Linked DNA regions of Arabidopsis thaliana. The protein of the gene in region 3 interacts with the protein of the main gene of each other region in a biochemical or structural test. Each region holds a gene or a part of one and is shown on either strand. Other genes may lie near its edges.

The links.
Region 1: of the proteins of PP2CA (region 3) and ABI5, one has a biochemical effect on the other in vitro, tested with the Arabidopsis thaliana proteins (one study listed by BioGRID).
Region 2: of the proteins of PP2CA (region 3) and ABF2, one has a biochemical effect on the other in vitro, tested with the Arabidopsis thaliana proteins (one study listed by BioGRID).
Region 4: the proteins of PP2CA (region 3) and KT2/3 form a complex in vitro, tested with the Arabidopsis thaliana proteins (one study listed by BioGRID).

Annotation. Positions count from the first base shown.
Region 1 is NC_003071.7:15,201,709-15,209,313, reverse strand, and holds ABI5 (Basic-leucine zipper (bZIP) transcription factor family protein), read left to right. Parts: upstream 1-1,677; 5' UTR 1,678-1,953; intron 1,954-2,653; exon of another isoform or gene 2,654-2,735; 5' UTR 2,736-2,742; coding exon 2,743-3,873; intron 3,874-3,954; coding exon 3,955-4,026; intron 4,027-4,114; coding exon 4,115-4,246; coding exon of another isoform or gene 4,247-4,334; 3' UTR 4,335-4,569; downstream 4,570-7,605. Other genes in the region: AT2G36290 (alpha/beta-Hydrolases superfamily protein), read left to right, coding at 1-65, 142-447; AT2G36260 (Iron-sulfur cluster biosynthesis family protein), read right to left, coding at 5,814-5,883, 5,959-6,076, 6,387-6,528; AT2G36255 (Defensin-like (DEFL) family protein), read left to right, coding at 7,586-7,605. UniProt on the Arabidopsis thaliana protein: Participates in ABA-regulated gene expression during seed development and subsequent vegetative stage by acting as the major mediator of ABA repression of growth.
Region 2 is NC_003070.9:17,162,122-17,169,420, forward strand, and holds ABF2 (abscisic acid responsive elements-binding factor 2), read right to left. Parts: upstream 5,769-7,299; 5' UTR 5,652-5,768; intron 5,621-5,651; exon of another isoform or gene 5,361-5,620; 5' UTR 5,340-5,360; coding exon 4,221-5,339; coding exon of another isoform or gene 4,068-4,220; exon of another isoform or gene 3,949-4,067; coding exon of another isoform or gene 3,904-3,948; exon of another isoform or gene 3,662-3,903; coding exon 3,590-3,661; intron 3,510-3,589; coding exon 3,480-3,509; intron 3,374-3,479; coding exon 3,299-3,373; 3' UTR 3,037-3,298; downstream 1-3,036. Other genes in the region: AT1G45248 (Nucleolar histone methyltransferase-related protein), read right to left, coding at 1,119-1,155, 1,225-1,299, 1,414-1,562, 1,660-1,755, 2,076-2,108. UniProt on the Arabidopsis thaliana protein: Involved in ABA and stress responses and acts as a positive component of glucose signal transduction. Functions as a transcriptional activator in the ABA-inducible expression of rd29B.
Region 3 is NC_003074.8:3,580,746-3,587,559, forward strand, and holds PP2CA (protein phosphatase 2CA), read right to left. Parts: upstream 5,106-6,814; 5' UTR 4,905-5,105; coding exon 4,461-4,904; intron 4,376-4,460; coding exon 4,040-4,375; intron 3,948-4,039; coding exon 3,842-3,947; intron 3,750-3,841; coding exon 3,436-3,749; 3' UTR 3,037-3,435; downstream 1-3,036. Other genes in the region: AT3G11405 (uncharacterized protein), read left to right, coding at 150-614. UniProt on the Arabidopsis thaliana protein: Major negative regulator of abscisic acid (ABA) responses during seed germination and cold acclimation. Confers insensitivity to ABA.
Region 4 is NC_003075.7:11,744,935-11,753,794, reverse strand, and holds KT2/3 (potassium transport 2/3), read left to right. Parts: upstream 1-3,096; 5' UTR 3,097-3,703; coding exon 3,704-3,930; intron 3,931-4,044; coding exon 4,045-4,263; intron 4,264-4,518; coding exon 4,519-4,677; intron 4,678-4,758; coding exon 4,759-4,816; intron 4,817-4,906; coding exon 4,907-5,221; intron 5,222-5,310; coding exon 5,311-5,550; intron 5,551-5,628; coding exon 5,629-6,144; coding exon of another isoform or gene 6,145-6,210; exon of another isoform or gene 6,211-6,236; coding exon 6,237-6,312; intron 6,313-6,395; coding exon 6,396-6,869; intron 6,870-7,004; coding exon 7,005-7,129; 3' UTR 7,130-7,305; downstream 7,306-8,860. Other genes in the region: LCR85 (low-molecular-weight cysteine-rich 85), read right to left, coding at 979-1,166, 1,252-1,327. UniProt on the Arabidopsis thaliana protein: Highly selective and weak inward-rectifying potassium channel. Plays a role in both loading and unloading potassium into/from the phloem sap. Seems to control sugar loading into phloem via a voltage-dependent process.

The DNA.
Region 1 (7,605 bases), on a different chromosome or scaffold from region 3:
GTATGTTGTCCAAAGCAGACAAAGAGATCATGTTTAAGCTCGGTGCTGCAAGGAGCCAACATGAGGTATATACAACATTCTTCATGACTTCTTTTTCTTCACCTACCTATTTGCATTTATCAAATCTAAGTCTCTATGAAGGCACAAATAAGGCAACAAGGAACACACGAGACATTGCACCGTGACATGATTGTTGGATTTGGAACTTGGGAGTTCGATCCAATGGAGCTCGAGAATCTGTTCCCGAACAATGAAGGATCAGTGCACTTGTGGCAGGGAGATGATGATGTGCTTGTCCCTGTGACTCTGCAACGTTACATTGCGAAGAAGCTGCCATGGATCCATTACCATGAGATTCCTGGAGCAGGGCATTTGTTCCCGTTTGCTCCAGGTATGGTTAATAACATTGTTAAAACGCTCTTAACCAATGATGGAGTGAAGAAGTAAACGATGTCTTCTCTCTCAAAAAGTTGGCTAGTTTTGGTTTTGTAACATGCATTGCTATGATATTTTGAACCGGGATCAGAGAGATTCATGAGAATCTCAAGTTTCTCTTGGTTGCTGATATATATTGTGGGTGATTAGTAAAGAGTTCTGGTACCTATGTAAAACATTCTCAGCATTCATCTCAAAAAGCTGTTTCTGTATATCACCCAATTTTAGGCTAATGTCAACTAGTTTAATATTAGGCTTAGACAGCCATTAATTGTGAGATGTGTCAGAACAAAATTAGGTGTATTAATTGAATTATGGGCCACTTGTGTTTGTGTTTGCATGGTCTAAAAACAATCAAAGGAAAAAAGTAACTAAAGAGGCCAATATGATAATTAATAGTTAAGTTTATATAAAACCGCATTAGGCTAATTAGCATCAATCCGACCTTAGCTCAGTTGGTAGAGCGGAAGACTGTAGTAGTTGCTGTAATCTTTAGGTCGCTGGTTCGATTCCGGCAGGTCGGATAATCTTTTTTATTTTTGTTTTTAGTTTTTTGGCTATTAGAAACACTTGATAAATTAAGCATTTAAAATTCGATAGTCCTTATGCAGTGAATAGTCCACGTGCACTCCCAATGGAAGTTCGGAATCATGTTTTTTTTTTTTTGTCAAAGTTAAATAAAATATCTTCGAAAAAAAAAGTAAAAAAGGAAGAGGATAATTTCTCGACTTTGATTTGTTTTAATTCTTTAATAAGTTTTTGTCTCACTAAACGTAATTCTATTCAAAATCTAACAAGTCTACTTTCACCAGCTAGAAGCTCAACGACAAACAAGTGTTTACAAACTTTGACTATTTCTTTCATAACATCTTGAATCTAACCTAAATATGTTTTTACCAAAGTAAATCAGTATTGATCAATCAAATTAATCCGTCAATTTCACAAAACAAATCATGAACCAATATGTAAAAAAAGATCACACTTTAATTCGCTCTTCTAATCCAAATTTCACGTTCTTATTATCTTATATATGCTTAAAAGAGAGAAAATCATGTCTAGTTTTAGACGTAAAAAAACATTTGTGTAGCCGAAGTCACACGTGTCGAGCCTGTGAGAAGACACTGCAAGAAACAGAAGAGAGACACGTGCAGGACACGTGTCGTCCGCAGCCGAACGGATTCTTTGTCTCTGATCATGGGCCTGGACCTGGACCTGTCTAAGTTAGCATTCCATTGGTCGAAAGATAACTTTAGACAAAAGATGTTGACCTTCACGCCTCTCTTCTTAGACCCCACGCGCCACACTCTCACGGTGAGAACATAAATATCAATCTCTCTTTTACCGCCTCCTACCCATTTATCTCTCTCTTTCTCAAAACCTTTCAGTCAAAATTCTCCGGCGGCTTTTAAACTATGTGAAGGAGGAGAACCTCCATAACAAGAAGCGGATTCTCTCAGTTTTCCGGCGGCGGAGGAACACAAAGCCACCGGTTTTTAGACACACAGATTTCATTTTCAGGTTAACACTTTTCTTGTTTTATAATTTTTCAAGATCTTGGATTAGAAGACTGTTAAATAAATCTATCTCTTTATTTATAAGTTTAGGTCTTCGTTTTCTGGTCCTTACTTATCTGCGTATTACCAAATATTAAACTTTGTGGTAAAGTGATACTTAGTAATAGACGGATATAATGATGACCCAAGCTAATGATTAATTTATTTTACTAATCATCAGGTTAAGCTCTAGATTATCTTTTGTTTAAAACCGTATTAATAAATGATTAAAGAGGAAAAAAATCTTGTGTTGATAAGTTCGCTTTAAGAAGAAAACGAGTGGGTTAAGATATTTTCCTCTTTTGGTAACGAAAACTTTATTGGAAGAGTAAATTATTAGTTTATTTATTGCTAATTTTAGTATCGTTTGTCGCTGTCACGATGTGGACCGTTCTTCTTTATTTTCACGTGGACCGACTTAATTACCTTCTTTCATTCTTGTTATTTCAATATTTTTTACGTCATTTAAACTCCACTTTACCAAAATAATTTATTTCATTCTTTGAGAGCATCAATTATCAAATAATTCAATTGTCTTTTTTCGTGATAGTTGAATAAGGGACAACTATTAAGTGAGTTTCGTGAATAGCTGAACAGGGACAAGTAACTGAAGTTTGGTCAAAATAATACGATGAATTTAATATATAAGAGACAAAATTGTTATTGTCGTTTAGGTGGTATCCATATTTCAATATAGTTTGTGTGAATACAGATATAAAAATGGTTATTGTTGTGTATATGATGCAGTTGTTAAATGGTAACTAGAGAAACGAAGTTGACGTCAGAGCGAGAAGTAGAGTCGTCCATGGCGCAAGCGAGACATAATGGAGGAGGTGGTGGTGAGAATCATCCGTTTACTTCTTTGGGAAGACAATCCTCTATCTACTCATTGACCCTTGACGAGTTCCAACATGCTTTATGTGAGAACGGCAAGAACTTTGGGTCCATGAACATGGACGAGTTTCTTGTCTCTATTTGGAACGCAGAGGAGAATAATAACAATCAACAACAAGCAGCAGCAGCTGCAGGTTCACATTCTGTTCCGGCTAATCACAATGGTTTCAACAACAACAATAACAATGGAGGCGAGGGTGGTGTTGGTGTCTTTAGTGGTGGTTCTAGAGGCAACGAAGATGCTAACAATAAGAGAGGGATAGCGAACGAGTCTAGTCTTCCTCGACAAGGCTCTTTGACACTTCCAGCTCCGCTTTGTAGGAAGACTGTTGATGAGGTTTGGTCTGAGATACATAGAGGTGGTGGTAGCGGTAATGGAGGAGACAGCAATGGACGTAGTAGTAGTAGTAATGGACAGAACAATGCTCAGAACGGCGGTGAGACTGCGGCTAGACAACCGACTTTTGGAGAGATGACACTTGAGGATTTCTTGGTGAAGGCTGGTGTGGTTAGAGAACATCCCACTAATCCTAAACCTAATCCAAACCCGAACCAAAACCAAAACCCGTCTAGTGTAATACCCGCAGCTGCACAGCAACAGCTTTATGGTGTGTTTCAAGGAACCGGTGATCCTTCATTCCCGGGTCAAGCTATGGGTGTGGGTGACCCATCAGGTTATGCTAAAAGGACAGGAGGAGGAGGGTATCAGCAGGCGCCACCAGTTCAGGCAGGTGTTTGCTATGGAGGTGGCGTTGGGTTTGGAGCGGGTGGACAGCAAATGGGAATGGTTGGACCGTTAAGCCCGGTGTCTTCAGATGGATTAGGACATGGACAAGTGGATAACATAGGAGGTCAGTATGGAGTAGATATGGGAGGGCTAAGGGGAAGGAAAAGAGTAGTGGATGGTCCAGTGGAGAAAGTAGTGGAGAGAAGACAGAGGAGGATGATCAAGAACCGCGAGTCTGCTGCTAGATCTAGAGCAAGAAAACAAGTAAATAGAGACCTTCTTCATTCCTTTTATGATGTTTCTTGTTGAAAAAAATCTAATGTTTGTTGTTGTTGTTTTGGGAAGGCATATACAGTGGAATTGGAAGCTGAACTTAACCAGTTGAAAGAAGAGAATGCGCAGCTAAAACATGCATTGGTATATATTTACTCATCTCGTTAAAGAGTTTATTCTTTTTGTGAAAGTGAGTTTGTAACAATTTAGCCTTTGTTATGTTTTCATCAAGGCGGAGTTGGAGAGGAAGAGGAAGCAACAGGTAAAGACACCTATTGAGTTTGCATTACTAAGATGGTTGCAGTATTTTGGTCAGAAGAAAACTACAAAATGGAATTGTTGGTTTATGGTTGCAGTATTTTGAGAGTTTGAAGTCAAGGGCACAACCGAAATTGCCGAAATCGAACGGGAGATTGCGGACATTGATGAGGAACCCGAGTTGTCCACTCTAAACAAACAATAGGAAGATGGAGAAGAAGTCGGAGACAGAACGAGGGAAAAACTGATGATTTTCTACGTTGTTGTTTTGTCTTTGAGGAATGAGGTTATAGAATCTTTATACTTTGATGTTTTCTGTGTTGGTAGGAGGAACACCATCTGATCTGCTTTACTAGTGTTCCCTGTGAACAAAGAAAGTGATTCTGTGTTTCAACATCATCAATCTTTGGAAAATATAACGAGTGTTATGCTCACTTGTAGATTTAGGTACACTCTGTTTCTGTGCACTACCATGAAGAGTCTTAATTTGGAATGACACAATGCGCAAGACAAAAGATACTCGGGACACAAGTCAGATAGTTAAACCTAGTAACCTAGATAGATCAAGATGCAAATTACATTAGAGTACTGCTTAACATTCAGTAATACAAGGAGAGAAAGAGCAAGGAACAAAGTAAACGTGAGAGAGAGAGAGTGTTGTCTTCTTCATGTTGATTTGTCTATTGCATTCTCTGTGGAACACACTCTTCTCGAGTCATATACCTTCTCCACTTCCTCTTCTAGCTGCAACAACAACAATCAAGAACAAGAGAAACAAGTTAGTTAGTGATTGAAAGTAGGGTAAATTTTCTTAAGATTAAGTCGAAGAATTAATTAGAACCGTTTCGGAAGAGCACTGAGATCGTCTTGATCAGTGTCAACCGTGTTGGTTTGGAAGACTCTGTAATCATGTAACTTACAAAATCAAACACTCTAAAATCACTAATAACCCGTACGAATCAAGTAAACTCTAAACCCTAGAAAACTCTCAATTCCGAGAGAACAGAAATGCTTACTTGGCTTGACAATGGATATGGATCTCAATGGATGTTTGGCATGTCTTGATGGATTTACCACGCCAGCCCTGTTTCTTCTTGCACACAGTTCTCTCAACCTTCTTGATGACGTAGCAGCCGTCGGAAGTGGAATCTCCGAGCTGTTGATCGGTGATATCGTCAGAGGAGGAGGAATGGAGGATGAATCTTTTTGCCAGAATCTTTTCTTCTTCTTCTTTTGTGTGAGTGAGAGAGAGAGTGTGAGAATCTTGTAGAGGAAGATGTTTGTGTTTTAAAGTGGCTGACTTTAACCGGGCTAGAGTAATCAACCACACTCACATTTCTACCCACTTTTTTTTACCAGGCTTCAGTGTGGGGTTTTTATTTATCGTAAAATGTTTCCGACTTGGCCAATTTTTATGTCGGAGTTATTTTTGATGTCAAAATTTCATTGGTTTGTTGAAGTCGTAAGAAATCCAGAGTAATACGTAGAAACGAAACCCATTTCCACACACACTTATTCACATTACATTAAATCATCGCAAACGTCGCAAATTGCGAACCTACACGGAAGACAGCCTTAAGATAGTTGTATTTACAAAGCAAATTTCATCGACTACTGTGGTAGAGTAATAGAGTTATATATGTCTTATTATGTTATATGTGTAATTTTGCCTTTCATGTTGTCGTGAATGACTCACCACATCCACACTTTGTCGCGTTTGGATTGACGAACACAAACTCAGACCTGTGCCAATACAATGCAAACATGTTTACCATGAATAAAGAGAGTGTCAAGATTGGCACGTGAAAGGGCACAAACCTAAGCTTATCGTCCACGAAATCCATCTCTGTCCCAATCACATGCATCACCGCCTTTGGATCCACAAGGATCTTTACACCTTTCTCCTCGACCACCTCATCAAACTTCCCTTTCTCCTCTGAAAACAAAGATCATAGCAGAACAACGCCAAATAGGAAGCCTCAGGAGTCAGGACACATTTAAGTCATCTATTAAAAGTTCTCAAAAGTGCTACAAAACAAAAGGTCTTAGGTTCCTAGGAAGGTGACAAAACCTACCCTAAAACTTGACTCTGAACCTGATAGAATATGTGCCTTTAATTATTACATACATCTCTCTAATCAATATGAACTCCCTCCTCATCATGAGCATCAAATATATATCAACATAATTTATGAGGAAAAAATCAACAAAAAAGAAATATATATGTGGGAAAAAATGGAAATTACGGGCGTAATTGAGGACGTAAGATAGGCCATTGCATCCTTTGGCTTCAACAGCAAGGCGGAGGAAAGGTTTTTGCTGATGCTGCAGAAGTTGGCGAATCCTCGCAGCCGCCGTGTCACTCAATGCTAATACTTGCTTTCTCATCGCCGACCAAATATTCGAGGATTTCAAATTTGTGCTAAAGATTTTTCAGAGAGGAAGAAGACGTCCAAGCAAATTTGTTACAAGTTGATATTTAAAGAGCCATTGTACTTTAATATATAATTTAGTGAACAAGTCTTAAGAACTGTTTAGGCCTGTAAAGCCCGAAAGAATTAGTATTAGTAATATATAAAGTTTGTATTGAATATGGGATGATGAAACGATCTAGCTTCCAGAAAAAGTCTTAATTACACAACATAATAATAACTACCAAACGTGTCAACGCTCCCGTATTCGTCCACTAACATTCTCCCATGAACCCTAAGTTATAAGTCCTCCAAGGCTACGATCACATTTACAAGCGGAAAATTGTTGTGTTTGATTTGTTTCTTGTTTTATTCTCACTCTAAGCCTCTGGTTATATAGCATTTTTTGGCGGAAAAGCTAATCGCAAAACATGAGATTATAATTATGCGACATGTCAAATTGTTATGAAAACATTTTATATAATAAGAAATTTATTTGGTATAGTATCATATGAAACAAAGAGTCAATACAATATCAATGTCATTATATGTGCTCATTATGTTAAGTTGAGTCAAGGCACTTTACTAAGAACACTTCAATAATTATATTTAACTATTTCTGTGTATTCATACGTATGATACAAGGTTTGGTGTTCTATATACTTTATCCTCATCCCTTGAATTTTAGTTGGGCCAAAATAATGACATTAAAATTATAATATGTTGCTATATAAAAAATTGTTACAATTTGGATGCAACATAGAGAGATCATTAGCGAGACATTGGGTGGATCGTGCAATTCATTTCTGTTTTGTCAACTAGCAATTCAAATTATGGCGACATTATATACATTAATCCATATTACACAAAAACTAATAAACTATATATGTCTTGGATTCAAATAGAAGAAATAAAAGTCAACGAGTTTGCCCTATAAATGATTCTATGCTTTCAAATAGTTAGCTACAAGCTCATCAATCTCTGCTCTATTAAAAAAAGAAGAAGAAGCAAACACAAAACAACAACAAAGAAATATGGCAAAGCTCATAGTTAA
Region 2 (7,299 bases), on a different chromosome or scaffold from region 3:
CTATCATGGCAAAATATGTTCTATAGTGCATTTTCTCACAATTTCTAGAATGTTTAAATTAGAAAACTATTTCCCATTACGCATGTTTGGTATAAACTGCTGAAATGCAACAAATAAATGAGAATCACAACGCACCTTGGCTTTCACGTCCATTGACTTGATCACATTGTGCAGCAAGAAAACAGTTTCTCGATGTCAGAATGAACCAAGAACATCACTAGCTGAATGTTGCCAATTTATCCAAGAGATAACTGCAGGAAGTGAAAAAAGAACACAGCTTAAAACTGGTATCCAAGTTCAACAACGACAGTTGTGCATTGAGTTATATATTATCAACAACAGGTCCCGACTTCGATTCTGGGAATGCCCCATTGACTCTTTTATTCTAGGAAATGGGAGCTCAGAACAGTTGCATATAGTAATGTGCCAGGTCTATAGTTTCTGATTTGTCAAACAAAGCCAGCTTTGTTCTTAAATTTTCATTACAATAAACAGTTTCAATCATCACTGAAACTGACAGATACACAAAATGTATACTTTTGTGCCTTAACTACATAGCAGAATGAACTAGAAAGAGCAAAGAATGAAGATACTTACCCACTTTAGTGGAAGAAACGCATCCACTGATTCCTAAGAAGGAATTCTTGATTCATCTCGCATTTCAGGTGGATCCAGTCCCATAGATTTGAGAAAAGAAAGCTGGTTTCGGAATTTCGTCGAACATGTGGTAGGCTACGTCATGTCAAACCAAATTAACGAAAGATCGCCTCTCTTGTGTCGGCAAATCATTAGAATAACGATGACGACCGAGAGAAGAGAGTCTCACTTGTGCTGTGCTATTCAATGAAAATTAAGTGCACTCTTATTCGTTAGTTAAGACACAACCGTATTGCAAGATCATGTGAAGATGAGCTTACTCTCTCACTATACTTGCTAGTTTTTTAACTCTAACTCCAATATATATCAATTTTAGTTACATGAGCTTATGACTACTTTAGTTGTACTTCAACTTCTTCTGTCCATATACTTCTCTGAGAATCTCTTCAAGTTCTTCACAGAGAGGTTCTGGAGTTAGCTGAATCATCTCATCACTATCCTTATCTGGATCTGTCTCCTCCTCACTGCTTAGCCATCCACAGTGAGAACTCTGCGCACCTACAGAATGATTTTGACCTCAGTTAAAGAATGATTCATGCATTGAGATTGTTATGGAGATTAGTATACCTCCAACAGAATGGTGTGCATAATCTACTGGTGGTGCTTCTACGAATTGAAAAGCTGATGGTGATGAGTCCATGACTGCTTCGTTAGTGATCAATAACGCATATAGGTTCAAGAAACCACTGATCGTTCAAGCAAAACTAATACCAACAATGAAAAGAAACAAATTTGTAACCAAGATGAACAAATCACCTTTTCTTCTTCTGGTTCTTCCTGAGCTGTTTCTTCGTGTTCCTCGGCCGCCAATCGGTAGGCTTGTTCCTCTTGCTTTTTAAGGGAAATATTAAGGAGACCTCATAGTTAGCATCTTCAATCAGAAACCATTGGTCCTCACCATACACCTGAAATCCAAATTGAGTAAAGTGTCACTTTTGAAGTTTGAAGTAAAGTTTTTTTCTAGCAAGGGCAGATAGAGAACTCTAAAACTAACGAACAAACCTTTAGCACTTGCTTGATACTCGCATTGATAACAGGCTTCTTAAACCCAAACTCTTTCATGCGGTCTCGTGCTGCATCCTCACGCCTCAATCCAATCTGCTTGCAAAACAAGAAGAAGAAAGTAGCAATTTAATACCCTCTAAAGGCGAGAAAATCATAGTTGAAGAAAAACAAACTTATCAAACAGATATCTATTTCTCATTGAGAATCAACTGAAACAAGCGAAAATTCAAGAACAAACGAAGCAAACCAGAAACCTAAGTATGAAACCTAGTGGATCTTCTATTCTCCTAAACCTCCACCACACTTCTGTTTAATCCTCTACGTAACAGTAAAGCTTACTTAAGTATGAAACCCAAGTCCCGAACCACACTGATCTGTAGTGTTCAATCGTCTATGCTAGCAAGAAAGCTTACATTTTTTCTTCCTTTGGGACCTTCGGGAGCCATTTCTATCTTCTCTGATCGTTTCTGAAGAATTTGGAGGAGAAAAATATCAGTTTCCAGTCTTTGGATTCAAAATCAAACAAACAAAGGTTACACAAGAGTGATCAGTTTTCAAACCTATGCAACAAAAAGAAAAACAAAAAATCTTGAAACACTATAAGAAGAAGACAATAAAATAAGGAAATTTGTTCACTAACATTGACAAAACCCAGAAATTTCCACAGAGAAGTCCAAATTTTTGAAAAAAAAGATGAAGAAAAAACCAATTTTACTGCTCGTTTCTAACAAATTCAAAAGCATTAGTAACACAATGCTATATCGAAATGTTCCAAATTTCAAACATACATCACAATAAAACCCATTACAGACGTTAGTCATGAATAATTAACCTTTTATTTTGTCCTCGGAAAACATGGAAAGATAGAGTTGGGTAAGACGAAATACCTAAAGATAGTATTTGATTTTACACCGGAGACGAAACGAATCAACGAAAAACTAGGGTTTTGCAGGTGAAATTAGGGAGAATTTGAGCGACGAAGTGGGAGAGAATGAGAGTGAACACTTTCATTTTTAGTAACTAAAAAATCAAACCGAATAAGTCGGTTTTGGTTCGATTCGGTCATCGGTTAAATTGGTTCGGTTATGTATTTATTCTCCATGCAAATGATTAATCCCGTTTGGTTTGGTTATCGAATTTAGAGGAATTTTACTTTGATACATACATAAATTTCAGTACAAATGTTTACTTTGTGTAACTGTCGGTTCAGTGAACCACATCAAACCGACTCGGTTACCTCATCCGTCCGAAATGACCAAGGTTCGGTTCGGTTTGGGTTATAGTCGCTTGCCTAGAAGGCTAGAATGCTGTGTTGGCACAGGTCATAGTTTTGGCACTCAGAGAAACCAAACAACACTTCAATTCTTCAAAATTGGTAACTCCAAGATCAAGAAAGTACATTTTGAGGTTTAATAGCGACAACGACAAACAACAACGAGAAACACACACAAAATTCTTGGTCTAAATAAAGCAAAAGAGATTCTGATGATCCTGTGTATGTAAAAAACATAACATATATGGAGAGAGCTTACAATATAAACGATGAAAGCTCTTCTCTATTAAGTCTAATTCAACTAAAACACCTAAGTGGGATGTCATTTATCTACAGAAACTAAGTATGATGGCATTGATTGATTCACCAAGGTCCCGACTCTGTCCTCCTCAGCTTTTTCTTTGGACCTCCTTGCAGAAGATTCCTCATCTCCGTCTCCTGTTTTATACATAGCACGGAAACAAACAACCAAGTTTACAAGTTCAGCTATGAAATGTGCAGTTTAGAGATTCCAGTGTTGTTGCATTGGCATAAGAATTATTACCTGATTCTTTTGCATTTCCATGATCCTTGCCTGTAAAACATGAGGCGTACAATGAGAAATGAATGTAACGTATGAGCAACTGTGATGCTGAGACATGGTTTTGTGATTACCTGCTTTCGTTGTAACTCGTCATTCTCTTCCTTTAACTTTGCAACTTCAGCTTCAAGCTCCACGGTGTAAGCCTATGAACCAAAACAAGCACGACTGAGAAGCTTATGAGATAAAGACTAGAGTGCCATTCAAAACATTTAGACCCTCAAATGTAGAACTCAACAGTTTGGTCATAGTACATGTCAGATGTAACAGGTTTTTGGGAGCACCAATTACCCATTACCTTGCCCCAAAAGAAAAACCATGTCGCCACTACTCAGGTTTTGACGATGAACCCTCACTACTCATTTAAACTCTGAGCCACCTCATGACATTAGCAAATTACATTCCAGTATATTGTTTGGTCTGCCGTGAATATCTGCGGATGGGCAACATGTATATACACCAAAACCAGAAGGTTCATATTTGTTTGCGAGATTCATTCAGCCACAAGTACTGATTTCAAGTCCCAATAATTCTGTTTAGTTGTTTACTACACTACTTCACACAAGACACTTTACGCTTTGAATTCAACGCTTCATTGTGGTTAAAGAACTTAACTACAAGATAAGCTAACCAATTTACTTTACATATCTTTTGGCTTATAACACAATCAAGAGTACATAGATAGATGGTGATGAAGAGATTAACCTGTTTCCTGGCCCGGGACCTTGCAGCTGATTCTCGGTTCTTTATCATTCTCCTTTGCCTTCTCTCTACAACTTTCTCCACAGTGCCACTCTTTCTACCTCTCACACCACCATTAAACATGTAAGGAGACGGAGAGAGTGATGAAGAATCACCATTACTCTTCCCTATCCCTTCTGATGACAATGGCGTAACAGGCGACACAGCACCAACGCCTAAAGCTCCAGGAATTGCAGCAGAAGCACCTTGGACAAAGCCCACATTGTTCGTTAAAGACTGATCTCCAAGTCCCACAAGACCACCACCTCTTATCCCAGGACTATTAAGCTGACCCATTTGTGTTCCATAACCAAAACCAGGCTGCTTAGGCATGATTGGCTGTTGCTGTTGCGATTGCTGGTATGTTGTTCTAGCTCCATTCACATTCAGAGGCAAACTAGAACCTTGAACCTGCAAAGAATTTGCAGTCTCTGCACCAAGATTTCCCATTACACCAGCGGCAACAACTCGTGGAGAAGGCTGCTGAAACTCGACAGAGAAACCTGTGTTGGCATCATTACCAAAGTAACCGCCTTTATTGTTCTCAGCAATCTGAGCTCTTGCAGCAACCTGAGCTTCCTCTCTCACAACACCAGCACGAACCAAAAACTCCTCCAAAGTTACTTCACCTAATGTTTGCTGCCTCTGACTCTGACTCTGACTCTGAGCCTGAGCCACCTGAGACAAGTTACTTCCCCCTACTCCACTACTTCCAACTTTGGATAGATCTTTCCAAACTTGATCAACCGTCTTCTGACTAAGCGTTCGAGGCAGAGTCAACGAGCCTTGCCTCTGCAGCTGCAAACCCTCTTGACCTCCACCAAGAACTGGAACCACACCACTAGCCATGGCTTGTGTTTCTTCAGCACTCCATATATTCTTTAACAACTCATCCATGTTCATTGACCCAAAATCTTTCCCTACACTGCTCTGAAACTCATCAAACGTCAACGAGTATATCGAACCTTGTCTAGTCAACCCTCCACCTCCACCACCATCTCCTGGTGGCTCATTCCCCAAATTCATACTACCATCCATTTTTCTACAAAATCTGCTTCCACCTAATAACTGGATCTGAACCATGAATACAAAAAAAAATCCAAACTTTAGTTTAAAAATCCAAACTTTAGTATCAGAACCCTAATCTATAAATAAAAATCAAGAAATCTGCAAAACCCAATTCAAAAACACTAACAGATTTCAAAACTTTAATAGTCAAATGGATAAAAACAGATTAAACCAACAGGAGAATATGAATGCGTTTATGACAAGTATTAGGCACAATTAGTAATTTTATCCAAAAATTAAGTGTGGACATAAATCGAAAGAATTAAAAGAAGATGAACAAAAACCACAGTTTCTTCTATACACACAAAGAGAAGAAAAATCTATTACCTTTTTGCTAAATTCGTGTGCTTTGTAATTTTCCCAAAAAATTTCAAAATGTTTGGTTCTTCGTTTGGGTGATTAGGTAGTTTGTCTGGTGAGCCAAGTGTCTCTCTGGCTCCTAACAATCTTGAATAAATACTACTTTTGCTAATTATTTTAATAAAATGGTATATACTCTGTATCTTTGTATTTTGCGTCACTTTCCCTCTTCGTTTTTATTTTACTAATTTCACTTACTAATTGTTTTCCTTTTCAGGATTTATGTTGTTTTAATTTACTTTAGGTTCCTAAAATAAGTTGTTTTCACTTTGGAATTCCGTCCAAAAATCATTGTATCTACACAATAAATTAAAATGTTAAAACGTCTTTAAAATTGTAAAATTAAGATTGGATTATGTTTATGAAAATAAAGTATTATATACTAGAAAAGAAATGAAAATATTGTATTTTACATATATATATATATATATTAATATTATATCTGGCGAATTTGGATATGTTGACTTGGAAATTATGATATCTAGATCCAAATGTTGCTTGGACAAATCCAAATTGTTACTACCCAGATTTCCAAGTAATATCTAAATATTTAAATATTTTGAGAGAAACCAAATGATTTTTGGGTATGTAAACTTTAAAATTGTATTTAAATCAATTTGGACGGATTCAAATTTTTACTATTGATCTCAACACTTTGAATATCGGAAATTTTGGAAAGAATAGTGACAAATTCTTTATATCGGATTCGAGATAATAATTTCACTCTAACAATTGTGCTAATTAACCAATTAATATTTATTTGTTTAGGTACACATGGTTGCGGTGGTTGGAGAACAAAATGGGTTTGTAGATTAGACAACTTCTTATTTATCATTCACAAAATTATAATTTGTAGTGGTATATACAAAACAAAAAGAAAAAAAAACTCTATATACAAAATAATTCATATAGTTCTTACATAAAAAATTGGTATTATATATGGGTATAGTCCTAAAACTTCTCAGAAAGTTTACATATCAAAATGGATTAAAGTTTACCAATCAAAATGTTCGTTAAAAAAGAAAATATTGGTATAATTCCAAATTTTAATCCGATTTATCCACAATATCCATTCAAAACCTTAATTCTTTTTAAAAAAATCAGCTAATATTTTATTTCACCGGTGAATTGAAAACGCTTCTCCATCCTGAAGTGACAAAGGTCCAATAATCAATCACCTGAGTTTGTTATTTATGATCGGTCCACTTACTTCTTTAGTCCTCTGATTACAAAAGTTTTAAAAAAGAAAAAAGTAGTTGTAACGAAATAACGTGTCGCTCCATTACTGTCACAACCAACAAAAACAAAAACACGAACCAACCTCGATGAGACAGACACATAATGAAACCAAATCTCAGCCGTTGATTGTCGATGTAACGTGGACGAACACTATTATTTGCTTTCACATCGACTTTGTGTTTTGTGGGGGAAGATGTCAGAAACCAAAGAGTCTTCTTACTTTTTTTCCATTGGTCCACGTCTCTAGTTTTTAGTTGGGCTCACCTTCACATTATCAAACCCATCTTATTATTTTTTACGTTTAAAAATTAAATACAAGGACAATAATACTCTCAATTCACTAATTATAGTAGTGTTTTTTTTTTTTCTGCTAAAG
Region 3 (6,814 bases):
ATTTTCGTATCATTATGTAAAAATAAGAAAATTTCCTTTGTTAAATTTAGTCGAAAAAGTAAAATTTCCATTTATTTTTAACTGCATATATATCAGCTTAAGTAATTTCTTCTTAGTAGAAGGTCAAATTTTAGAATTTCATTGAAACAATGGAAAAGGTTTCAAAACTCAGTATTATCTTCCGTGACGAACTACAAAACTTCAACAATGACTATGTCGAAAATATAGATGTCGTCGGCAAAAAAACATCTAATTCATCATCGGACAATGAAAGCGACCAATTCGCCAGCTTGTTTGGTTCTTCGTCACCGTCTTCGTTTCAAATGCCTCTTCAGTACCCGAATTACGCAAAGGAACAGTACGACATTATGTCGGAGGAAGAACTCGATCGACTTCTCAAACTCTATGGTCTGCCTACAGATATCGGTAACTTGTCCTGCAAAAAAGAATTTGCAGTGGGTGCATTCTTGTGGGAGACGGGGTTAAATTCTTCTCTGGATGAGCATGATTCAGTAAACCCTAATTCGTCCATTGATGATTTGGAAGAGAGATCTTTGATAGGGTTAGTGACAGTTCTAGTAAAGGATATGGTTCAATTTATATTCCGTGGGTAGCAAGTTAAGGAAGTGAAAGCCTAATTTTGCTTGACCCTAAAGTTTCGTTTCTTGTTGTTTATATGGATGGATTTCAATTATTATGATTTACTATATCATATTATTTAATTTGCTTCGCCGTAAGCTATCGTCTGTTTCCTTTTCTTTTCTTTTTTATCGTCTGTTTTCTTACAACCGAACAAAAGTTAAAACCAAATTGAATAGGGAAAGAAAAATATGGTTTATATATTGCGGTTTGGAGAAACTAGTCGGGACAAGTTTCTTCTTAAACAATATATAAAAAGGACCAGCGACTCTAGCTGAGAGAATAATCTTGTTTTATATGTTTTAAAAACTGTATACCAATGAGAGAAACAAAAGCTTCAAATAAAACTTAGCTAGGACCAAAATCGACCAAGAAGGATAATAAGAGCAAGAGATAGACTTTGAAAACAAAGTAAAATCTATCTAATTAGATATAGAAGCATTATCTAAAAATATAAATAGAGAAATTCTAAAACACAAAAACAGTTTAAAGTTTCTTGTTGGGACCATTCTTCACTATGAAACTGCATCATAAATTCATAATCTGAGAGACTGAGACCCTTTCAAATCATTAAGATGATGATGTTACGTTCTGCTTATGGTGTTCTTATATGGTTTGTATTTGATTAGTATTTCTTTACTTCAGTTATTTAAATTTAAAGTCATTTTAATTTTTTATGCTCTTTAATTCATAAATTCATAAATTCATAAAAGAAAATATTTTTTTTTAGAATGTGTTCTACGTTTGGAATCAAATATCGTCAGTAAACAAATCCTTCTCCGTTTTATTAAACCTTTGCATAATATACAAATTTAAAAATGAAAACAATGATTATAGGTTTTACGGCCTATGCATCTTTTCTTTACCTTTTATCATTGATGGACTACTACAGTTGGTGAAAAGTCTTATTTAACAAATTTAGTCGAACAATTCACTTGTATGTTTGCACCGTTGAGCTAAAATCGTCTACCAACTATATTTGGTTTAAAATGTTATTTTTAACAATTTTAGAGCATTTCAATTGTGTATTTTGTAGTGAATATAGCTATATCTTTCAGGCAACATCGTCAAAAGGCTGACCAAGTTTCTCTATTATGTCCCAAACACATGTAATTAACGACATTTTAAGTTAACTTAAATCTATACTAGCAATGGATTTTATGTAGGAAAAAGTATAAAGTTAGTTGTTTTGCTAAAACTAGACTTATGATATAAAACCAAACTTATTGTTAACATTTTTAATGTAGCACAAGGAACTCACGATGTCATGTAAGCCTTCCTCAATACTATAAAGTAAGAACCATTAGGGACATGAATAGATATTTAATAAGACAAATTGAGACAACATTATGATGTATAGCGAAAAAAGGGAAAGAATAATTGAGAAAGAGAGGTCAACATCAAATCTTGGAAACCAAATCTCACATAGACCAAATAGACACGTGTTGCTATTTGATTGTCACAAGTAGGCATAATCTTATCTAAGCTCCCACTTGTGTTGTGTCCCTCTCAATCCCCAACTTTTATTGTGTTGCCCTCTCACTCTTTCCACAAACCCAACAGGCAACAGCTAAAAAAATCAATCCATCATTATAACATTATGCGAATTCCGATCTAATAATTTTATGGCAGTGCCTTATCTTTTGATGGTGAAATCTCCAAACTTCGACCAATTGTGATGTATTGGATTATCCAATCGAACTTTTCACGCGTGGGGATATAAATTTACCGTAGTTTTGGTTCAAATGTGGTATTTTCATATCCAAAAGATGCTAGGTTTACGAAAAATGTCTTCAACAAAACCCCATAATAATTGTTGGTTTAGAAAACAAAACATAACCTAACGTATGATTAATACCTAACAAACATTAATGTGAAGGGTTTATAAAAACATGATTGAATAGAATAAGATTTTATTATCTGGTCATTGTGGCAACTGGCAAGTGGCTAGTAATGGACGGTTAAAAGTATGTATTATTTTTTGTTCAAGTTGATATTAATTTATTTATAAAAGAATGTGAAGATCATATTCCTTTTTCTTACCCTCCTAGTTGATATTTTCTAGTCAATTTAATCAAAATCTGTTTAATTGATTATTGATTCCGACCTTAACTGACATTAAGCATTCGACAATGTTGCCAGACAAGTCTCTTAACTTAACTATCTTCATTAGTATTAAAAGAATTAATAAATCATTGTACTTTCTAGTTCTTATATTGATTGTCCAGATTAGTCTCTTCCACCAAGATATATATATATTTTTGTTGATTTATGTTTCTAATATTATCCTTGAATCTTTTAATTACAATTATGTGCTAAAATGCCGCGGTCTACGACACGCGAGTCTCCCATACGACCCCATACCAATAAAATAAATAAAATCTTCTTAAGATAGGGGAAGATTAGTAAGTAACCGGTTTGGATTCAAATCATCGTCGAGACTCATACTAAACCAGTTCGGATCGAATAACATTAACCGAAGTTTTAAAATGGTAAATACGCATAATCTGTTCTTTCATTTTAACATTTTTCCCCTCTGAATTAGATTATTACATTTCCAACGACCATACTAAAAGAATACATGTATAATATTACCTGAATAGAAAAATAAGAAAAATACTCAAACTATTTAATCAGCTCTTTTTCTTCCCCAGCCTGAATTAAGAGCTAACTAAAATAGAAAAGAAAAAACACCTTAAAATGAGAAAAACTAAAATAGAAAAATAAAAAGAATACAATTACAATTAGGCTATGTAACAATTATTCTAATACTACTACTAATTATAACACTAATTATTAAGACGACGCTTGATTATTCCTCCTCTTCCTCAAGTCAACCACAACGACGCTCACGTTATCGGAGCTCTGTCTTGCTAGAGCCAACTTTGTTAAGAGCAACGCCGCATCGGAGCACGCATTGTGCGCCGCATCTGAGTCGTCACCCGCACCAGCACCTCGAAGGCACATGCGAGCCACGCCACACGCCGTCTCGTTTGGTACAACATCCCATAGTCCATCACTCGCCAAGATCAAACACTCATCCTCATCAGTTCGATCCGTCACTGTTACCTCCGGATCCGGAATCACATACGGTTTCAAGTAATTATCACCTATACAAACAAAAACAATAATCATCAGATTAAATTCAAACGTGTAATTCAAAATAGCCTAAAAAGTCAAATCACAAGAGAGATTCACTCACCAATTGCTCTAGACATGGCAAGAACTCCAAGAACCCTAGCTCCATCCCAATATATAACTCGCCCACCAGCTTGTTGGATCCGAATCAATTCATCGGGTCGATCCGGCTGTTCATCACAAAACAAAAACTCTTAGAACCATGCCATCTTGATTCATACTAACCAATTCGTAATTCTATATAAGACATAATTTTAACTACCTTGTGATCTACGGAGAGAGGAATGGCTACACCGTTACGACAAAGCACAGCCCGTGAATCACCGCAATTAGAAACAATGATCTTCTCCGGCGTGACAACCGATACAACAGCGGTGGATCCGACGGCGTCACACTGAGGAGACTGCAATTCACATCTACAAGAATTTTTCATACTCCGAGTAGCACCATTAACAACTAAGTTACACTCTCGTTGGCTAACTTCTTTATCCATTTTTTGAAAACTCTTAACCATCGTCTCTGTCCACTCGTCGGAAGCCATAACTTCAACTTCCTTCTTCACTATATCATGCAACCGTTCTCTGCACTTCTCCGCAACCTAAAATCAACCAAACAAAACCCTAATTAGTAACTAATCACAAACAAAAGAAAAAAATATTACTAAACAGAGGAAATTAACGTACATGAGAGCAGCCATGGCCGTCAAAGACACCGTAGAAATGATGATTCTCAGAGTTCCGTTGAAGAAACGAAGGATGAATCGAGACAGCGTCTTCCATGTCTCGTCTTCTACCACAAACCGACGTCGTACCGATCTTAGGTACATCGGAAAAGAAACTCTCTGCTTCCGTAACAGAATTTGAATTCGTAACCGCTGATCTAGCCTTCTTATTCTCACTCCTCACATTCGAATCCAGATCTAGATTTCCCGGTAACGTCGAGAGCACTACTGTCTCACGCTTCTGCCGTTTACGGCAGTTTTCAAGCGGAGGAGCAACGGCGGAGTCAGCAACAATTTTGATCGACGGAAGTAGATCTAACCTCCGTCTAAGAGAAGCTCGAGAAGTTGAATCAACCGGTGCCGCCGGTTCAGTCTCTCCAACAACACCGCAACAAATCCCAGCCATTTGATCTCTAACAAAACTTCTCCAATTTACAGAGCAAACCAAAAACAAACAATCTCCGATTATGAGTCTTCTTCAACAATAGAGAGAGAGAGAGAGAGATATTAGTAGAGAGAGATTTTGTTGAGCGTTAGGAAATGCAATGTGATTTTAAAAAGAAAAGGTTTGATTTAAAAAGAAAAGTTGAAGAAGAACGCAAAAAAAAAAAAGGGTTTGATTTTCGCATGGAAGGGTTACACGTAATTAACGGGCAGGGGGGCATGAATAAGGGGAAGTTGCTGACCGTCAGCATCAACGGGCAGGATCCGACACGTACCGTTTGGTGTGACGTTCCATTTCCTGGTACCTAGATACAATCTAAACCGTCCATTCTTTCTTTTTTCCTAGATCTATACACGTGCCCTTTCTTTCTTTTGGATACGCCGTTAACGTGGCCCAATCACAGTTCGACACACCTTAACGGTAACGACCGGCCTTTCTTGACACGCATGTGGTCCACTCTTTCGTTTTGTTCTTTTTTTCTTTTATTTTGTTTCATTTAAATACGCTTAATACAGTATTATGCTGTTAATTAAGATTTAAATAAGTCAGAGGTCAAAATAATGGCCATGGGAGAGAGACAATCTTGTTATAAAATACTGGTTTTAATTATTTTGTCAACTTTTTTATAAATCAGAATAATCACTATGAGATTAATGTAATCGATAAAATCTCTGATAGTAGAAAATTATACAGTATGAGAAAATGTAAACCCCTTCTTTTTCTAGTTATGGAATCCTGAATGGTGAATACTCTGATAGTCTGATTGGTAATGCCAAACAGAATGATAGGTCAGCCCCACTACCCTTAAAACATATAAGAAAAATCTAGTAATATATACGATATGGTTCATATCATTTCACAAACCTAAGCAACATCAATAATACATTTGAATGTTTCCTGTGTTATTTTAAATATTGAACAAACCCGCTTCAATTTGTACAAAAGCGATGCCTCTGAACGTACTATCAAGTATAAATTTGCTTCTAAAATAACGCATCGTGAATCCGTTCCGTGATTACATATTAATCGAGGATATAATTGACATCCAAACTAAAGAAAATTTGCTTCAGAAATAACAATTTTGATCCTATTTGTACAAGAAATAACAAATATATATATCGTAAAAGGTTGATTGTATTGAATTGCCAAAGAGACTATTTGTACAAGAGATGTTGCCTAAAAGAAGATAGAAACGTATCTAACTGAATCTAGGAGAAGAGAAGATTAACATATATTCTAACTCTGATATTATTTCACACATGCAATTTGAAATGTTTAAACAATAAGAGTATATTTATGCTTGAAATTCTGAAATGCACATAAACGAAAATAAATTGGAAAATAGTTACGTGTATCTGATGAGTTCAAACCTCAGCATCAAACACTTCTTTTTTGGTTTTGAATAATTAAAGGTGGGCATTTGGGTTAAGTTCGGGTAAAACCCGATTAGATATGATTTTTTTGGATATAAAAGTTTAAGATTCAATGGGATAAATCCAAAATATCGGTTTGGTTTAAGTTTGTATCCAATCGGTTTTTAATCGGTTTGGATATAAATTTTCAGGGTCCTTTTAGAACCGATATCCGAATTTTTGAGTAAATACCTGAATTTTTGGATAAAATTTTAGATTTCGAATAAATTTAGATTTTCGAATAAAATACCGGTATTTTCGGATTCGACTTAGATTTTTTGGATTAAAAAATTTAGGATCCAATATAGTAAATCTTCGGGTTCAAGTTTAATTTCGAACCCAATATAATAAATCTTCGGCTTTGGTTTTTTTTCTAGTCCTAGTTTTGATGTTAGAATTTCATAACTTGGAAAACGATTAAAACCTACACCACAATCCATAATTACATATAGAAGACTT
Region 4 (8,860 bases), on a different chromosome or scaffold from region 3:
AGTAATTTAAAACTTTCCACGCGTAAGAGAATAATAATTGTTAAAATATTTCCACTAATCCAGGCATCCACTCACCTACCTATTATTTGGTCTATAGTATTGAAATATACTCACTAACTGTATGTCGATAGCATCAATAAAATATTTTTATTATATAATATATGTAACGAGACCTGCATTTGATCTAAAATAATGTAATATACTCACCATCACATGTCGATAGCATCAATAAAATATTTTTATTATATAATATATGTAACGAGACCCTCATGTTAAATATTTCAATAATACATTTATTTACCAAAAGTAAAAATACTATATGGGATTCAAGAAAATACTACATAAACCAATATTTTTAAACCTGATTCGAGCGTTAAGTTGGACTATCTTCTAAATCACCAGATCATTGGGTCAACCTGATTCAACCACGATTAAAATCTTCGATGAACAAGTGACCCTTAGCTATCTGTTTCCTCGTCACTCCCTTCATCTTGACAGGGCTTATTACTCCTGTGGGGCTTACTACCTTTTTGGTCTCTACTAGTTGGGCTTCTAACCGTCTTTTGTGAATTTGTGGGTTTTGTTTCTAGAGTGGACATTTGTAAGACTTTAGTTAGCTTACTAGTAACCTTTTTAACTTTTGTTGTATGTTCAAACAAGTAACCCCTTTTTAACTAATATGCATCAAACTTTATGAAAACAAAAACATGTACATTAGTGTTTAACACAAAGAAAAAGAGAAAAAAAAATCTAAAAACATTGGTTAGCTAAATACAACAAGAACTAACAAAAACGTTTGTCAACGGAAACACTCCAACTTTATTGGAGACTTGACAACGCAAAACAAACAGAAGCACAACAGAGTACAAGGCAAAACACTCAAAACATATGATGTGATGAAATGAAAGCATAAACATGCAAATAGCAAAACACACACACTCACACACACAAAGCGACGTCGTTTTCTAGCATCTGCAATCACATGCTTTCCATTTCAGCACTGCTCTCTACATTATGGCAGCAATAACAGACACTTAAACCAGGAAAACGAGCATCTGAGCATTCGCCTCCAGTAAAATTGCGGCCCAATGAATTGCATTGTGTATTGCAAGAGAACAACATACTACATAAACCCGCTGCGCTGTCACACACTCTACGCCCATCTACTTGTGTCCAGTCCATATATAGAAAGATGCAACATTTCATTAACATGTATTTATTCTAAATCTTCTTTTAACTAAATTTACGTACCTGTAGGAGACATGAGGAGGATGGAGAGACATACAACTACTGCAACAGCAAATGTGCTCACTCTTAAGCTCCCCATTGCTGATTTCTCAGTTCTTTTTTTTTTAAAACACTAGATATCTCTCAATTCTTCTTTCTTTTTTCCGCTTTGTGATTTATTTAGCGAAGGAGTCTGAATTTATAGCACTGAAGGGAAAATGAGAGGCTCAAACATGTAACTTTATTTTATTTTATTTATTTATGTTATTTGTATTTATTTTTAAAGAAAACATCACTATGCAATTTTATATTGGAACTAGGATTTAACCCGTGGTATACCACGGAGCAAATATTTTATTTATATATATAATAATCTTAAATTTTAAGGTTTTAAATTTTTAGTATTAAAATTATATAATTTTATATTAATATTGTAAAAAAAAAATTAGTGATGATAGAATAATAAATAAAGATTTAACCCGCGTTATATCAATGCAAACCCGTCCCACTATATAACTCGTCTCATAATATTTTAATATCTTTTTATAAGGATAAATATTAATAATGTTTTATAAAGTTAAAATATATCAATAATAATATACCATTAATGCTAATAGATCTCTTTAAAAAAGAATATTAGTGTGTAGTACATTTTAGATTTGGAAAGATTTAAATGATTGTTGTGATATATTTATTTTAATTCTAAATTTTAGTAACAAAATTGATTTATATTTGGATTTGAGAAGAAATTTGTTAAAATATTAAATGCTAATGGCATTGGATGGTAAATAAATCTCAACTTGAGGATTTATTTCATAAAAGTGCTGCAAAAATGTATATGTAGATGAGTAAATAGATCAAATAACTTTCAGTCAACATATTTACAATAAAATGATTCTCCAATATTGAAAATCACATCTGTCATTAGCATCAATAAAATCGAATTTTATTATATAGTATACGTAACGAGACACACATTGAGTCTAAAATATTGAAAATACTCACTATCACATATGTCAACGATAACACTAATTTTTTTTTTTGTATAATATACGTAACGAGACCTGCATTAGATCTAATTTTTAATCGATTAGAGCTTAAATGACATCGTTTTGGTTTGACTAAGAGAATCGTTAAAAATGTTAGAAAATCTGTTAAAGCTTAATAACTGTTTGTTTGTTTTTTTTCTTTCTTTTTTTGTCAATCGAAAATTAGACTATTAAATGACAATTTTCCGTTTAAAATGGCAAGTCCTAGATTTGAAAAGGTCTTTTGAAATCTTTTTAAGAGAATTAAGGGTGAATTAAATATATTCAGAAATTAAAGGGTCGAATTGCAAACTTTCTTGGTTCATACTTGGTCTGCCTTTGTCCCTTTCTTATCTTCTTCGCGCGCTTTTGAAAAAAATAGAAACCCGCCACTGAACGTCAGTCTTCCACGTGTCCTCTCCTGTGCTCTGTTTCCGATCGTCGGAGACATCAATTTGCCTGCTTGTAGGGTGATTCGTCAAATCTATTATCAGGTTTTAAATATACTCGAATTGACTTCCAAATTCTTAGTCTCTAGTGTAATGATTTTGAGAATCACTTAACTCCAAAAATATAATCCACGATCCCGTGTTAATTATTGAAGAATCAATCGTTTTTAATTTCTCACCAATAGATGTTGCTCTTATTACTTAAAACAAATTGTTTAGACAAATGTAGCAAGTGTGATACTTAGTGGGATCTTAAAGACGATTTCTCCTATAACAGAGGACAAACAGGTCGGTCAATTACAATGTCATCCCTCTTTACCCTGTCTTTTTTTTTCTTCTTAAAACCTAACCATTTGATTGTTTCTAAAGGTATTTCAAGAATATATGATCAATCTAGATGAATACTATACCGACGATGACTACACACACAAGGAAATATATATATCAGCTTTCTTTTCACCTAAAAGTGGTCCCGGTTTAGAATCTAATTCCTTTATCTCTCATTTTCTTCTGCTTCACATTCCCGCTAGTCAAATGTTAATAAGTGCACACAACGTTTTCTCGAAGCATTAGAATGTCCTCCTCTTAATTAATCTCCTTCTGATTAGATTCTCAATAGAGTTTAAATTTGTTAATGGAGAGATATATTGGGACCCTCAAGGCTTCTAATTATACCACGTTTGGCATAATTCTCTATCGTTTGGGGCCACATCTTTCACACTTCATTACCTTATCACCAAAACATAAAATCAATCAACTTTTTTTTGCCTTATTGATTGTGTTGGATCCCTCCAAAATTAAAACTTGTGTTCCCCACAAAAGCTTACCCAATTTCACTTCAATCTTAACAAATAGGACCACCACTACCACGTACGGTTTGCATCATACAAACCACAAACTCCTTCTTCATTACAATTATTATATCATCTACTAAAACCTCTTTCTCCCTCTCTCTTTCTTGTTCTTAGTGCTAAATTTTCTTTGTTCAGGAGAAATATAATGGACCTCAAGTATTCAGCATCTCATTGCAACTTATCCTCAGACATGAAGCTCAGGCGTTTTCATCAGCATCGAGGAAAAGGAAGAGAAGAAGAGTATGATGCTTCTTCTCTCAGCTTGAACAATCTGTCAAAACTTATTCTTCCTCCACTTGGTGTTGCTAGCTATAACCAGAATCACATCAGGTCTAGTGGATGGATCATCTCACCTATGGACTCAAGATACAGGTACCATCCATATTGATGAAACAGAGTACCTGAAAAATACATTCTTTATATCTCAGTGACATAAAAGAATGCTTGAATTAGTGATAACGTAAAGAAGTTAAATGGTTGATTCAGGTGCTGGGAATTTTATATGGTGCTTTTAGTGGCATACTCTGCGTGGGTTTACCCTTTTGAAGTTGCATTTCTGAATTCATCACCAAAGAGAAACCTTTGTATCGCGGACAACATCGTAGACTTGTTCTTCGCGGTTGACATTGTCTTGACGTTTTTCGTTGCTTACATAGACGAAAGAACACAGCTTCTTGTCCGTGAACCTAAACAGATTGCAGTGAGGTCAGTGATTGTTATTCATGATCTTAGTTTCACCTTTTTTATTTGATCTGATATCTTTAGCTAAGTGGAAGAAGACAAGGTTTAGGTGACTGTTGAGCCCACACCATGTGATTCTTTTATTTTCATAATCAGTTAGATAGATTTCTGTTTTTGGAATAAACAGAAAGATTCTACTTATATATATTAGGTGAAAAGAAAGCTTTTTAAATAAATGTGTTAGTTCTTGCTTAATGCTATTTTAATATCTCATTAAAGGTACCTATCAACATGGTTCTTGATGGATGTTGCATCAACTATACCATTTGACGCTATTGGATACTTAATCACTGGCACATCCACGTTAAATATCACTTGTAATCTCTTGGGATTACTTAGATTTTGGCGACTTCGAAGAGTTAAACACCTCTTCACTAGGTACACTAATTCCCTATGACTCTATGTCATGTCTCTGATCAAGAAGGTAACAAAATGATTCTATTTTTGGTGTTGTTTTAGGCTCGAGAAGGACATAAGATATAGCTATTTCTGGATTCGCTGCTTTCGACTTCTATCAGTGAGTAAATAACTTATAAGTGAAGGAACAAGATCACATTTCTTTAGATTTTGTAGTTGCAGTACATGATGAGGTTTGAGTGTTTTACAGGTGACATTGTTTCTAGTGCACTGTGCTGGATGCAGTTATTACCTAATAGCAGACAGATATCCACACCAAGGAAAGACATGGACTGATGCGATCCCTAATTTCACAGAGACAAGTCTTTCCATCAGATACATTGCAGCTATATATTGGTCTATCACTACAATGACCACAGTGGGATATGGAGATCTTCATGCAAGCAACACTATTGAAATGGTATTCATAACAGTCTACATGTTATTCAATCTTGGCCTCACTGCTTACCTTATTGGTAACATGACTAATTTGGTCGTGGAAGGGACTCGTCGTACCATGGAATTTGTGAGTCTCACGCTCTATACAAGATTAAGTCTTTTCTGTTTGTATAGTTTGCTCAAGGAAGATCTTATGTTGTTGTTGTGGTGGTGCAGAGGAATAGCATTGAAGCAGCGTCAAACTTTGTTAACAGAAACAGATTGCCTCCTAGATTAAAAGACCAGATATTAGCTTACATGTGTTTAAGGTTTAAAGCAGAGAGCTTAAATCAGCAACATCTTATTGACCAGCTCCCAAAATCTATCTACAAAAGCATTTGTCAACATCTTTTTCTTCCATCTGTTGAAAAAGTTTACCTCTTCAAAGGCGTCTCAAGAGAAATACTTCTTCTTCTGGTGAGTTAATTTTCTGACATGATTGGTTGAGTTTTGGCTTGCTGGATAAGTTTTCTAAACAGAGGTTTTGGTGATTAGGTTTCAAAAATGAAGGCTGAGTATATACCACCAAGAGAGGATGTCATTATGCAGAACGAAGCGCCGGATGATGTTTACATAATTGTGTCAGGAGAAGTTGAGATCATTGATTCAGAGATGGAGAGAGAGTCTGTTTTAGGCACTCTACGTTGTGGAGACATATTTGGAGAAGTTGGAGCACTTTGTTGCAGACCACAAAGCTACACTTTTCAAACTAAGTCTTTATCACAGCTTCTCCGACTCAAAACATCTTTCCTTATTGAGACAATGCAGATTAAACAACAAGACAATGCCACAATGCTCAAGAACTTCTTGCAGCATCACAAAAAGCTGAGTAATTTAGACATTGGTGATCTAAAGGCACAACAAAATGGCGAAAACACCGATGTTGTTCCTCCTAACATTGCCTCAAATCTCATCGCTGTGGTGACTACAGGCAATGCAGCTCTTCTTGATGAGCTACTTAAGGCTAAGTTAAGCCCTGACATTACAGATTCCAAAGGAAAAACTCCATTGGTAACGTTTTGCTTTCACCATAAGCCATTTAAAACCCTTACTCATAATCATCATCACAGCCGTTAATTCGTCGTCTTATATTCATGTTTCAGCATGTAGCAGCTTCTAGAGGATATGAAGATTGTGTTTTAGTACTCTTAAAGCACGGTTGCAACATCCACATAAGAGGTAAACACATCATACTTAAGAACCGTTATGTTTTATGTTCTACTGATATGTTTTAAGAACAAGATTTTATCATAATCTTGCAGATGTGAATGGTAATAGTGCTCTATGGGAAGCAATAATATCGAAGCATTACGAGATATTCAGAATCCTTTATCATTTCGCAGCCATATCGGATCCACACATAGCTGGAGATCTTCTATGTGAAGCAGCGAAACAGAACAATGTAGAAGTCATGAAGGCTCTTTTAAAACAGGGGCTTAACGTCGACACAGAGGATCACCATGGCGTCACAGCTTTACAGGTCGCTATGGCGGAGGATCAGATGGACATGGTGAATCTCCTGGCGACGAACGGTGCAGATGTAGTTTGTGTGAATACACATAATGAATTCACACCATTGGAGAAGTTAAGAGTTGTGGAAGAAGAAGAAGAAGAAGAACGAGGAAGAGTGAGTATTTACAGAGGACATCCATTGGAGAGGAGAGAAAGAAGTTGCAATGAAGCTGGGAAGCTTATTCTTCTTCCTCCTTCACTTGATGACCTCAAGAAAATTGCAGGTAAAGATACAAATTACACAAGTGACTAGAGTTTAAACACCAAATTACGGTTTAGGTTATATGGTGTTAAACCGGTTCAAATTGGTTTTGGTTTATTGAGCTAACCGGGTTTTGGTGTGCATGTGCTAAAAACAGGAGAGAAGTTTGGGTTTGATGGAAGTGAGACGATGGTGACGAATGAAGATGGAGCTGAGATTGACAGTATTGAAGTGATTAGAGATAATGACAAACTCTACTTTGTCGTAAACAAGATAATTTAGAAGTTGAAAAATTATAACGAAATGAAGTTTGAGATAAGAGAGAGCGTGACAAAAAAATGAAAAACAAATTGTAATATTTATATGCGTCCATCAAAGTGAGATGTAACACATATTTGGGTAAGAAACGTTCCAAATAATAAATTTAAATTTACTAAAATAATAAAATCCAAAATGAGTTCAAATTTATTAGAAACCTAATCTACTGTACAAACTTTTCAACTAGGTATATAGTTTCTACATATATGAAAATGTGACGTGACTGTCGTAGTATCAGTATCACATGCTATGCTACGGTTCGAATTTAGCTGAATTATTGAGTTTTTTTCGTATTTTATTTTGGAACATAATTTTTGAGGTTGTACACGTTGTTTTGTTTGCAAGGGAAAAACTTTATTCTTTGGTATTATGGAATAGTCGTCGAGTTGAAGAGAATGATCCACGTGACCTTCACGTGAATAGTAGTTCTATGATATTTCTTTGTCAATGAATCCATAAAATGATGCGACTTTTTTTTGTACCACTTGAAGTTTAGACACACTCCAAACCCTACCTCACATTTCTAGTTTTTGTGGAGTTGATTCTTTCTGAATTAGTATGATGTAAGAAATATGAATGTAACTAATAATAAAGTATTGTGGAGATAATCATATAAAAAATGGACAAGAACATAGAACCAAAATAACATTCAAACTATATCCTTAGATTTGTGATTAGTTTGAAAAATATAATTCGTTGACGAGAAAAATACGCAAAGAACCATATGTATGCTGTCTAAGGACCTACAAAGAAACTCCGTTAACAATTATGGACTGTCGTCGTCCATTACCAAATTTTAGTTCGTGTAGCATTTATCAACTATCCAAATATAAACAACTTTTGAGTATCAGAAAATGCGTTGGCTAAAAGGAACTCGAGCCTAAAACTTCGTTAACCAACATATATAAAACTATTGTTTCAATATTACTATTTTAAAATCAGTTTAGAATGATTTGTATTATTAAAAATTGTGTCATTGAAAGCTAATTAAAAATTTGTAAGTCGTAACATGGGGTGTACGGATGGGGAAATGTGAAAACCTAAAATACCAAATCTATGTAACGTCGAAGTTGCGTGCAGAGAGAAAGGGTTGGGTTATTTACGACATTTCACAATCACGACCCTACGACATTAAATGAGTGTGAGATAATGCTATCCATCACATGGCCTTACATTATCTATGTCTGTTTCCAAACACAAACCAACCAACAAATCTTTTTGCTATTTTTGTATTAATTTTTTCCCATTTGATGATCATTTATATAGAAAAAAATAGATTTATGAGATCTTTTTTATATTTCTGCTAGCTTACATATTTTTTCTTAGTATTTTTAAAAATTTCTTGAACTAGTTAAAATCACAGCCAGTCACTGGTGGTGAACCCGTAATGCTACAGCAGAAAAAGCTAAACAATACGATAAAAAGCGTTTAATACGTGTAGGTCCTATTAAAATCACGTTTCATTCTTTTAACTATTTGTTTCCTTCTGTTTAATGGGCCTCATTCTTGGCCCGTTTACCCCTTCTGGCTGTCTTTTATCGCTAATAATAATGTACTTTGGGACTACATTTGTTTTTTGTTTTTTTTTTGTTTTGACAGCCAACATTTGTCTATTAAGTGTATTGGTGTCGTAAACATAACATAACTTGGTAAGGAATTTGGCAAGACAAAAAAACATAGCAGAACAAAAGAATG